Linked DNA regions of Saccharomyces cerevisiae S288C. The protein of the gene in region 1 binds, or shares a complex with, the protein of each later gene. Each region holds a gene or a part of one and is shown on either strand. Other genes may lie near its edges.

Region 1 (4,644 bases):
AAATTGTAACAGAATTTATAAATCCTATTCATATAGATACATCTGTTTTTCCTTACTCTGTTTTTATTTTGTTGGTAACCTTTGAATCCTTTTTGATGAAAAAAATAGAAAAAAAAAAAAAAAAAAAATGAAAGCAATATCGACTGTATGTATATGCGCACCATAATTTTCCTATTAATAGTTTAAGCATAATTAGTGTACTTACTAAAAATAATGTAACTTTGCTCTTTGCACCAATAGATGTTACTCTCCAAATATCTTACAGGTCGTCTTCCACGTGGTATCTATCAAAGTAGCCAGATCCACGTCCTTGACTTCCGATACGACAATTGCTACTTGTTCCATATTACAAGGCTCATTACGGCCCTTGACCATGTAAAGTTCTTCTGCATTCAACTTGTCAGCGAGCTTATTTTTCTTAACGGACTTGAATGCAGGGTATTCGAAATCCCTAACCTCCTGGTATTTGGCTAAGTACTGGAAAGATGCATGCGTTCTTTTAATCTCACACCACGGAGCATCTGTCTCTAATAACAACCTTTCTGTTGGTATTTGCTTTACAACAGCTAGATTTTCCTCGGTTCTCAACGAGCAACCGTTTACTCCTATGAAGATGTTGGGTGATAAGTTCAGTAATTTCTGCAAATCTATCGCAGAACCAGTGAATGAATGGACCACTAGTTTTCTATCTGGATGAAATTTGTAAAACCCGCTAGACGACGATGCACCTAACTTTTGTAGCTGAAAGGTATCCCTCTCATCAGTGAACCCGGCAATAAATCTTTCCAATATTTGAACAAAATCGTCACATGCGCTTCTCATATGCAGAAACAATGGATAGCTGCTGAGTTTATCGTTCAAACAACTTATTTTCAGTTGCTCTTCAAAAAAAACCTTTTGCATCTCTTTAGAACTATAGTGAAATCTGTCGTAGTCCAACCCGATCTCACCAATTGACCTGAAACTTGTATCATGAGGTTTTGCTTGCTGATTCATCAAATCATAAAGCTCTTTCAGTTTACCCTGTGCAAAAGATGGATTACTAATAACTTTAGCATATAGAGACTCATTATATGCTTCATCCATGGAAGGGTTATCAATAGAAGCGCTAGCCTTGTCCCCTTGACTAGCATCCGCAAACTCGTTAACGCAACATGGGTGAACACCTATTGTGTGATACAGCTTTAACGGGCTAAGATCTTTGACGCTGCTTACCAACTCAATGGCACTTTGAGACTCCGCTATGGATGATCCTGTAACAAGGGCATTTTTCACGTGCCTCTGAGCAGCACGCTCTAATAATTTTACATAATCTGCTGGATGGTACTGCTTACCATTGTAAATACCGTGAAACATAGGATCTGTCAGATTCAATCCAATATCATAGTATTTCAGCGGAGAATCCGTGGCAGTTGATGTCATGCTATAATATTGTGTCAAAATTGGTTTCCAGAGCCTAGAACAACTTTTGTTCGAGGATTTCAATAAGATGCCCCACATATAACTATAACAGTACTGGCGCCTCAAAAAAATGCCTTGGCAGCGAAAGTGTCCACCTTTAGTTGTCCATTGCTACCAGGACATCACCACTGGGCCCTTCCAGCATGCTGGAAAGATTGTTCTTAGAAGAGTGCTGTTCTAAGTAACCCGGCGTTAGTAGGGGCTAAGCCTTCTAGAAGGCCGGAAAAGGCTCAGAAATGCCTGCAGTGCAAAGCTTTTCAGGAACGTTACTAGCGCAAGTCTTCTGGCTGCTGTTTAGCAACCTCTTTGCAGGTATTTCGCAGCGGGATTTCGCAGGTGTCTTGCCTAGCGTATCAACACTTAGTAGCAGTTAGGTTCTAAAGTTAAACTCCACTTCCGTTCTTCTTCGAGTTCCTTTTTGAGCGGTTTGGCCTATCTTGTCTCATCATCTTGTTAGTGTGCGACGTTATCTGTGGGTGAGAGAGGCTATTTTTGGTCCGGTGAAAAAAAAATTTTTTCTCTGCTGAGAGCTGAAATTTGAAAATTGAGATGAGATGCGATGCGATGAGATGCGAGACCAATGCGATGAGACACTTTTCTACTTCCTTACACAGAAGTCGTGTATAGTTTTTGTACGTTGATATTAATAAAGGCTTTTCATATCATTTTGTTTTCAGGTAAACAAATCTGGCAAATCTCCACTGCTTGAGTCATTAAAACTACTCACTCAAGAAGGCATATACACGACAGTGGGTAGAGAAAAGAATATATCACTGTTCTTATTGAAGTTCCCTCGCGATGACGTTGCCGAAACTCAGTAGCGTTTCTGTTTCATCAGGACATGTTAGTGCCAACTCACATGGTTTCTCAATACTAAGCAAACACCCTCACCCAAATAATCTTGTCCATTCCCACTCACTTTCTCACACAAATGCGAAGAGCCACCTGCCTATCAGTAGCACTAGCACTAAAGAGAACAGCACGAACAAGGAGGAGGCGGAATCACTCAAAAAAAACAACCCCTCTTCTTGGGACCCTAGTGATGATATCAAGCTCCGCCACCTGAAAGAGATCAAGAACTTGGGCTGGAAGGAGATTGCACATCATTTCCCAAATAGAACTCCTAACGCTTGTCAATTCAGATGGAGGAGACTGAAATCAGGCAACTTAAAGTCTAACAAGACCGCAGTTATTGACATCAATAAGCTATTCGGCGTGTATGCGACTGGTGATGCTACCCCATCCGCGGGTACTCCGTCTGCGGAAGAAGCCGTAAAAGAGGAAGCTGTTGAGGATGAAGATATTACTGCAGGTTCTAGTGCTATCGAGGATTCTCCACCGGATTTCAAGCCATTAGTTAAGCCTAAATACATGGACAGAAAACTGATAACTCAAAGATCTACATCAACATTTTCGGACCATGAGCCACAACACACGAAACCAAGGAAACTGTTTGTTAAGCCAAGGTCCTTCTCTCATTCTATAACAACCAACACGCCTAATGTAAAGACTGCTCAGCAGACAAATCTAAGCCTTTATAACACTACTTCAGCAAAGACAAATAAAGCTGTTAATTCCAATGATTATGAGAATATTGGTCTTGTGCCTAAAATTATTATCAGGTCTAGAAGGAACTCCTTTATTCCTTCAACTCAAATCCCTCATTCAACGACGAAGACTAGGAAAAACTCGCATTCCGTAATTTCTTCTAGAAGATCATCTTTTAACATGATGCATTCAAGAAGATCATCCTTCAACTCTCACGCTCCTACGGAGCCTATTTCTAGAAGAGCTTCCTTGGTAGTTAGCCCGTATATGTCACCCAGAAGGTTATCTACATCGCAATCCGTTCATTATCATCCACAGCACCAATACTATCTTAACCCCATAGCGTCTCCCAACTGCAAGACAGACCACGCAAATGACAAAATCACGCACACGAGGACTTTCTTAGATATGCAAAAATTCGCTAATAAACACCCGTGGTCTAGAGAAGATGATGAAGTGCTACTTAACAATACGAAGGACAAACAAAACCATTTGTCGCCGCTAGAAATTTCTATTGTTCTGCCTAATAATAGATCCGAGTTGGAAATCCAACAAAGAATGGATTATTTAAAGAGAAAAGGACGTGTAAGTGGTTTTCATACAAATGAAGGATGCAAAGACGAGGAGGAGGAGGATGACATTGACCCACTGCACAAGGAGAATGGCATTAACACGCCATCGCAGCAATCGCAAAATTACGGTATGTTAGAGGCTAAACATGATAATCCAAAGTCTAGTGAGCTTTCTTCTATGACCAGCGCAAATGACATACGCAATGAGCAAGATGAACTTCCAGGTATAAATTCTATCTTTAAAAATATATTTTAAGCTAAGAGACGAATTTAGTTTGTTTTGACTATTCGTTTAATGAGTACAAATTAATCGCACCCACACATGTACACACACACATATATATCTTTATATATACACATAAAATTTATTCGTAGGAGAATTCTGTAATACTATTGACTACAAGGGTTCTTATTGCTATTAATAATGTTACATGTATATGCTTATATCCAATATATACCCATCGCCGCTTATTCTTCGTCATCCTCTATTAGAGTTATTTTTCTTCTTTTTCTGACTCTCTCCTTCCTTATGTGGCTTTCTATATCGTTTTCATCCTGCTCTTGTCCTTTTCTCTTCCCATCCTCATCATCATCACTGTCTTCTTCATATGTGTCTTCCTCCTCATCATTTTCTTCTGATATTTGCTCATCCTCAATGTCATCATCAAGGGTAAAGTCTTCGTCTTCGTCTTCATCTTCTTTGGCGTTTTCACCTACATATAATTCAGTATCTACATCGTTTTCTACTTCATCCTGCTCTAAACTTGATATTCCAGTATCGTTTCTCCTAGCTGCATGATTTCCAAGTGGTGTTTCGGAGTTTTTAATAGTGAAGCAGAGCTCCCAATGAGTTTCTGTACTAAATTTTGATCTTGGTATCCCTTTGCGATCATGGATGCTTTCCAGCACTCTTTTTTCCGCTTGATAGATTAATCTATCATTATTTGTGTTCTTATAATCACACATATACTCTGTTAAGGAGGAAACAGTGTCTTCAAAAAAATCAGTAGCAGGTACTTCCGGTTCTATGATATTGTTTACATGAAGCTTGGATGTTTTGTGC
Region 2 (4,649 bases), on another chromosome or scaffold:
ATGCGTGACGGCTGAATTATCCTTATCTGGCGTACCCGTGCAGCCGTTTCCGTGCCTCGGTTCCTCCGAGATATCCTTAGGGACCGCCAGGGACCATGATTGCGTCAACTGTTGTCACCGCTCCAGAGGATCCTCTGTAACCTTTTCAACCATAAAAATAGAAAGGGCACAGGGTTGGGGTATTTGAATTTTTTTTTTGGGTTTTTTCGTATTACTTATTACTTACCTTCTTTTCTATATAATTTTGTTTTTCCCTGGTAGAGCGGAATCTTCCCACTAAATTTTTAGCAGAGAATCCTCGGGTTTGTAAACCATGTTATAGTTAAACCCCGATATTACACCATTAAAATCATTTCTAAATATGCGGTCGTCGATGATCAGCTGCAGGGAAATGCCAAAATATGGACCCCATAGAGGTCTTGGCTTGTTCATATCGTTGGGTCGATTTCTGTTCCCAGTGTTATTTGGTTGAATGGGAACAGTCGCGTCTTGCCCCATCTTGTCTCTGCCGCTTTCGTCGAATCTGACTTTGCAATTGACGTTGCATATCAACGTGCCGGATCCCGGAATAGCGTGATAGTCTACTCCTGTTAGGGCATGTTGTGTTTGTACGACCTGGTTTTGCCACATTTGCAGAAAAACTGTTGCTTGCGCGAAGGGGGTAGCATTAAATATTATTCTGCAGTTGTTTGGATTAAAAAGCTGTACGAATTGGGCCAATTTGTTGGAGTCCGGATCATCCAAATGCGCTAATATCTTCTTCGTAAATGTGGCCGTTATTTGTGCTTGATTTGCGTCATTCATTACCATAGTATTACTATTGGTGTTCATATTTCTGTTATTACTGTTATTAGTTTGGCGTTTTGCCTGACGATCAGCCTGGTGGGGCCAAGTATATACTATAAAAACAGGTTAGTTACTTGCTCTATGCGTTTGCGCATCCTCTTTTTACTTTTTTTTTTTCAGTAAAGCCTAAGCATAAATCGTTTTATACGTACGACACGTTCAACTTTTCTTGGTTAGTAGTGGCAATCTCTGCAATACATACAGGGAGTCATGGTCTATCATCTTGTCCAATCAAAGAAGCATCGGTTCAGATCGAGCAAACTGTAGGGAGAAAGGAAAGTAGAAATGCAGAGTGTGCTATATGTCCAATCTCGGTTTTGTAGTTTGGATGTCATTAGAGATCTACCACCCAACCGGCTGCTTTCATGTGGAACAGAAAAGAAATCGGGGCGCTTCCTCTTCTGTATTCCTTTAATTAACGTTTTTATTCAGCCATCTAACCATCATACCCCCATACGGTAACAAAACCTCTTCTAAGAAAAGAAGTCTCTGCTCCTCCGCCATCTTATTTTTATTCGCTGCGCGCGTTTATTGTCGCATCGCTAGCCAGCAAAAAGTTGGTTGCCTTTTTTTACCTAAAAAAGACACATCTAACTGATTAGTTTTCCGTTTTAGGATATTGACGCCAAGCGTGCGTCTGATTTCTACGATATGTCTCTAATTTTGGAAGGGCCATTTTATTTTTGAGGATTGGGCTGATCATTTTCCTTACGTGGATTGAGCCAGCAATACAGATCATTATTAAACTGTTTTGTACATGATGTTAGTATATAATCGTAAAGCTTTTCTAATATGTATACCTTATACATGGAACTCCACAGAACTTGCAAACATACCAAAAATCCTTTATTCTTGTTCACTCATTTTACATCAAAAAATAATATTTCAGTTATTAAGGAAAATAAAAAAATAGATTAGAGAAGCATTTTGAAGAAATAGTATATTCTTTTATTGAACCTAAGAGCGTGATATTTTTACTCGAAATAAAATACGAAAAATCTATACACTCATCTTTCCGACTACTATTGGCTCCTGCTCAAAAAAAGAGGGAAAAAAAGCTCCAAAATTCTATCTTTTCCTATCGCTCCTGTCCTATCCTTATTACGTTCATTACTATTTTAATACTATCCATTCTTTTATTTTCAGTCTAAAAAAAACATTTCTCATAACGGGAAAAGCAAAAAAATGTCAAGCTTATACATCAAAACACCACTGCATGCATTATCTGCTGGTCCGGATTCTCATGCAAATAGCTCCTATTATGACAATCTTTTATTGCCTTCATTTTCCAATTTATCCAGTAATATCAGCAGGAACAATATCACAACCGATAACAATATAAATTCAGCAAGTCCTAGGAAGTATTCGTTTCATTCGCTCAATGTGTCGCCAATTCTTTCCCCAATATCTTTGGCTAACGAAATACTTGGAAAAAAATCAAATACTGCACCAGCATCGCCACATCATATGGATTACAATCCAATTTCCTCATTAACACCAGGCAATTCACCAGAATTCAACAAGGCAAGCTTATCTCAGATTAGTTTTACAAATCCATTGAACTATGGGTCTGGCTTAGGTTTTTCCTCTAATTCACAACCTCGACTACCATTGTTAGACAGGCTATCGTCCGTCTCTTTATCTAAGAGACCGGAGCGCCCACAACAAAGCCTACCATCACTAAGGCATCTGCAATTATTACCCAGTCCTCTTTTACAAGAAAACGCAGCACGCTTCCCTGATACATCAAAACGTACATCTAATTGGAAAACTGATCTTACCCATTGGTGTAAGGATACAAACTATCAAGACTATGTTAAAATACGCGAAGAAGTGGCTCATTTCAAGCCATTAAGTATACCCAACTTAACTAATAATCAAAATAATGATAGTTTCAATTACGGCAAGGAATTGGAATCGACTAGGTCGTCCAAGTTCCATTCCCCGTCTAAGGAATCATTTGATCGTACCAAACTAATTCCTTCGATTCTAGAAGCTAAAGATCAATTTAAAGATCTTTCCAACAATGCATGGAGTATTACTCCTCCCGTCACACCGCCGATGAGTCCACCAACCAATAGAACCATGGAGCGCACGACGCTTAGAGGAGTAGAGGCCTCTTTTTTTGAGGGGAAATCCAGCAATAACGATTCAATATTCAATCCAATTATTAGTGAAAAATTGGTTCAAGAAGTTAAACATCAAAGACAATTACGTGGAAATTCATTTCCCATGCCAAATGCCAGTCACAAAAAGACGAACAGTTTCAAAGCTTTGCAAATAAAAAAATTGCTTGCGAATAGAGACATTCTATCGAACAATTCCAAATCTAATGTAAGGAAACCATCTAAGAACAAAATCTCAAAGCAAGCATCAAATGTTTTCGGTAACACTGCAAGACAATTGGTGATGAAACTCGACAACGCTAGTTACAGTTCTGTCTCTGCATCTTCATCTCCATCTCCCTCCACACCGACGAAAAGTGGCAAGATGAGATCAAGATCATCCTCACCTGTGCGTCCCAAGGCATACACTCCAAGCCCAAGGTCACCCAATTATCATAGATTTGCTCTCGACTCTCCCCCTCAAAGCCCTCGAAGATCATCAAATTCAAGCATAACGAAAAAGGGAAGTAGAAGGTCCAGTGGCTCATCACCCACTCGTCACACCACAAGAGTGTGCGTGTCGTGTCATTCGAGTGATTCGCCCTGTTGGAGGCCATCGTGGTCGCCAAGAAAGCAAGATCAGCTATGTAACTCTTGTGGTCTTCGATATAAAAAAACACATACAAGATGTTTGAACGATTTATGTCGTAAGATCCCCACAAAGGGTGAAATAAACATTATGAAATCCAATGGAATAGACAAAGAATTCGTCCCCGAACGCAACTGCGAAATTGAAGGGTACCGTTGCTTATTTTGTAATTACATAACTGAGACAGTAGAGAATTGATACATGGATAACTGAATCTCTTTCAACTAATAAGAGACATTATCACGAAACAATTGTACATTTCTCTCCTTGTCTGTGCTAAATAAACTACAAATAAAAATTCATTTTCTTTCATTTTCATTCGACACGCCGCGGCATCTTCGTTTTCTTCACCGATTAATTTTAATCTGCGCCGTGCAGATATTTTCGCCCATTTCGAAGTGAAATCATTCTAATAACTTCTCCTGCGCAATAGATTGGTCATCCTGATTTTTATTCTGAAATCGAAAATGAAAAGCATTTATTGCACTGAAATAGCGGAACCTGCTTCTAATAAGCTTAAAATTCAATCATAATAGTGTAGTTAATAGAAAGGACAGAAGAACTTTTCGTTCCTTGGTTTATCATCCAGGTTTCAGCACGGCTTTTGTTTCAAGTTTAAGTAGGTAAGATTTTTTGATTGTTCTACAACTTTTTCATAGTAATCAAAACCTTTGAATTTCAAACTTACTATGTCTAGTACTCAAGTAGGAAATGCTCTATCTAGTTCCACTACTACTTTAGTGGACTTGTCTAATTCTACGGTTACCCAAAAGAAGCAATATTATAAAGATGGCGAGACGCTGCACAATCTTTTGCTTGAACTAAAGAATAACCAAGATTTGGAACTTTTACCGCATGAACAAGCGCATCCTAAAATATTTCAAGCGCTCAAGGCTCGTATTGGTAGAATTAATAATGAAACGTGCGACCCCGGTGAGGAGAACTCGTTTTTCATATGCGATTTGGGAGAAGTCAAGAGATTATTCAACAACTGGGTGAAGGAGCTTCCTAGAATTAAGCCATTTTATGCCGTCAAATGTAATCCTGAT

Evidence for each region. Proteins that work in one complex are often made in the same cells at the same time.
Region 2: TOD6 (region 1) and ASH1 share a complex: the UniProt entries of both Saccharomyces cerevisiae proteins name them as parts of the RPD3C(L) complex.

What each region holds. Positions count from the first base shown.
Region 1 is NC_001134.8:115,330-119,973, forward strand, and holds TOD6 (Tod6p), read left to right. Parts: upstream 1-2,259; coding exon 2,260-3,837; downstream 3,838-4,644. Other genes in the region: YBL055C (3'-5'-exodeoxyribonuclease), read right to left, coding at 244-1,500; SAS3 (histone acetyltransferase), read right to left, coding at 4,050-4,644. UniProt on the Saccharomyces cerevisiae protein: Component of the RPD3 histone deacetylase complex RPD3C(L) responsible for the deacetylation of lysine residues on the N-terminal part of the core histones (H2A, H2B, H3 and H4).
Region 2 is NC_001143.9:92,468-97,116, forward strand, and holds ASH1 (DNA-binding transcription repressor ASH1), read left to right. Parts: upstream 1-2,031; coding exon 2,032-3,798; downstream 3,799-4,649. Other genes in the region: MTR2 (Mtr2p), read right to left, coding at 277-831; ornithine decarboxylase SPE1, read left to right, coding at 4,290-4,649. UniProt on the Saccharomyces cerevisiae protein: Component of the RPD3C(L) histone deacetylase complex (HDAC). Responsible for the deacetylation of lysine residues on the N-terminal part of the core histones (H2A, H2B, H3 and H4).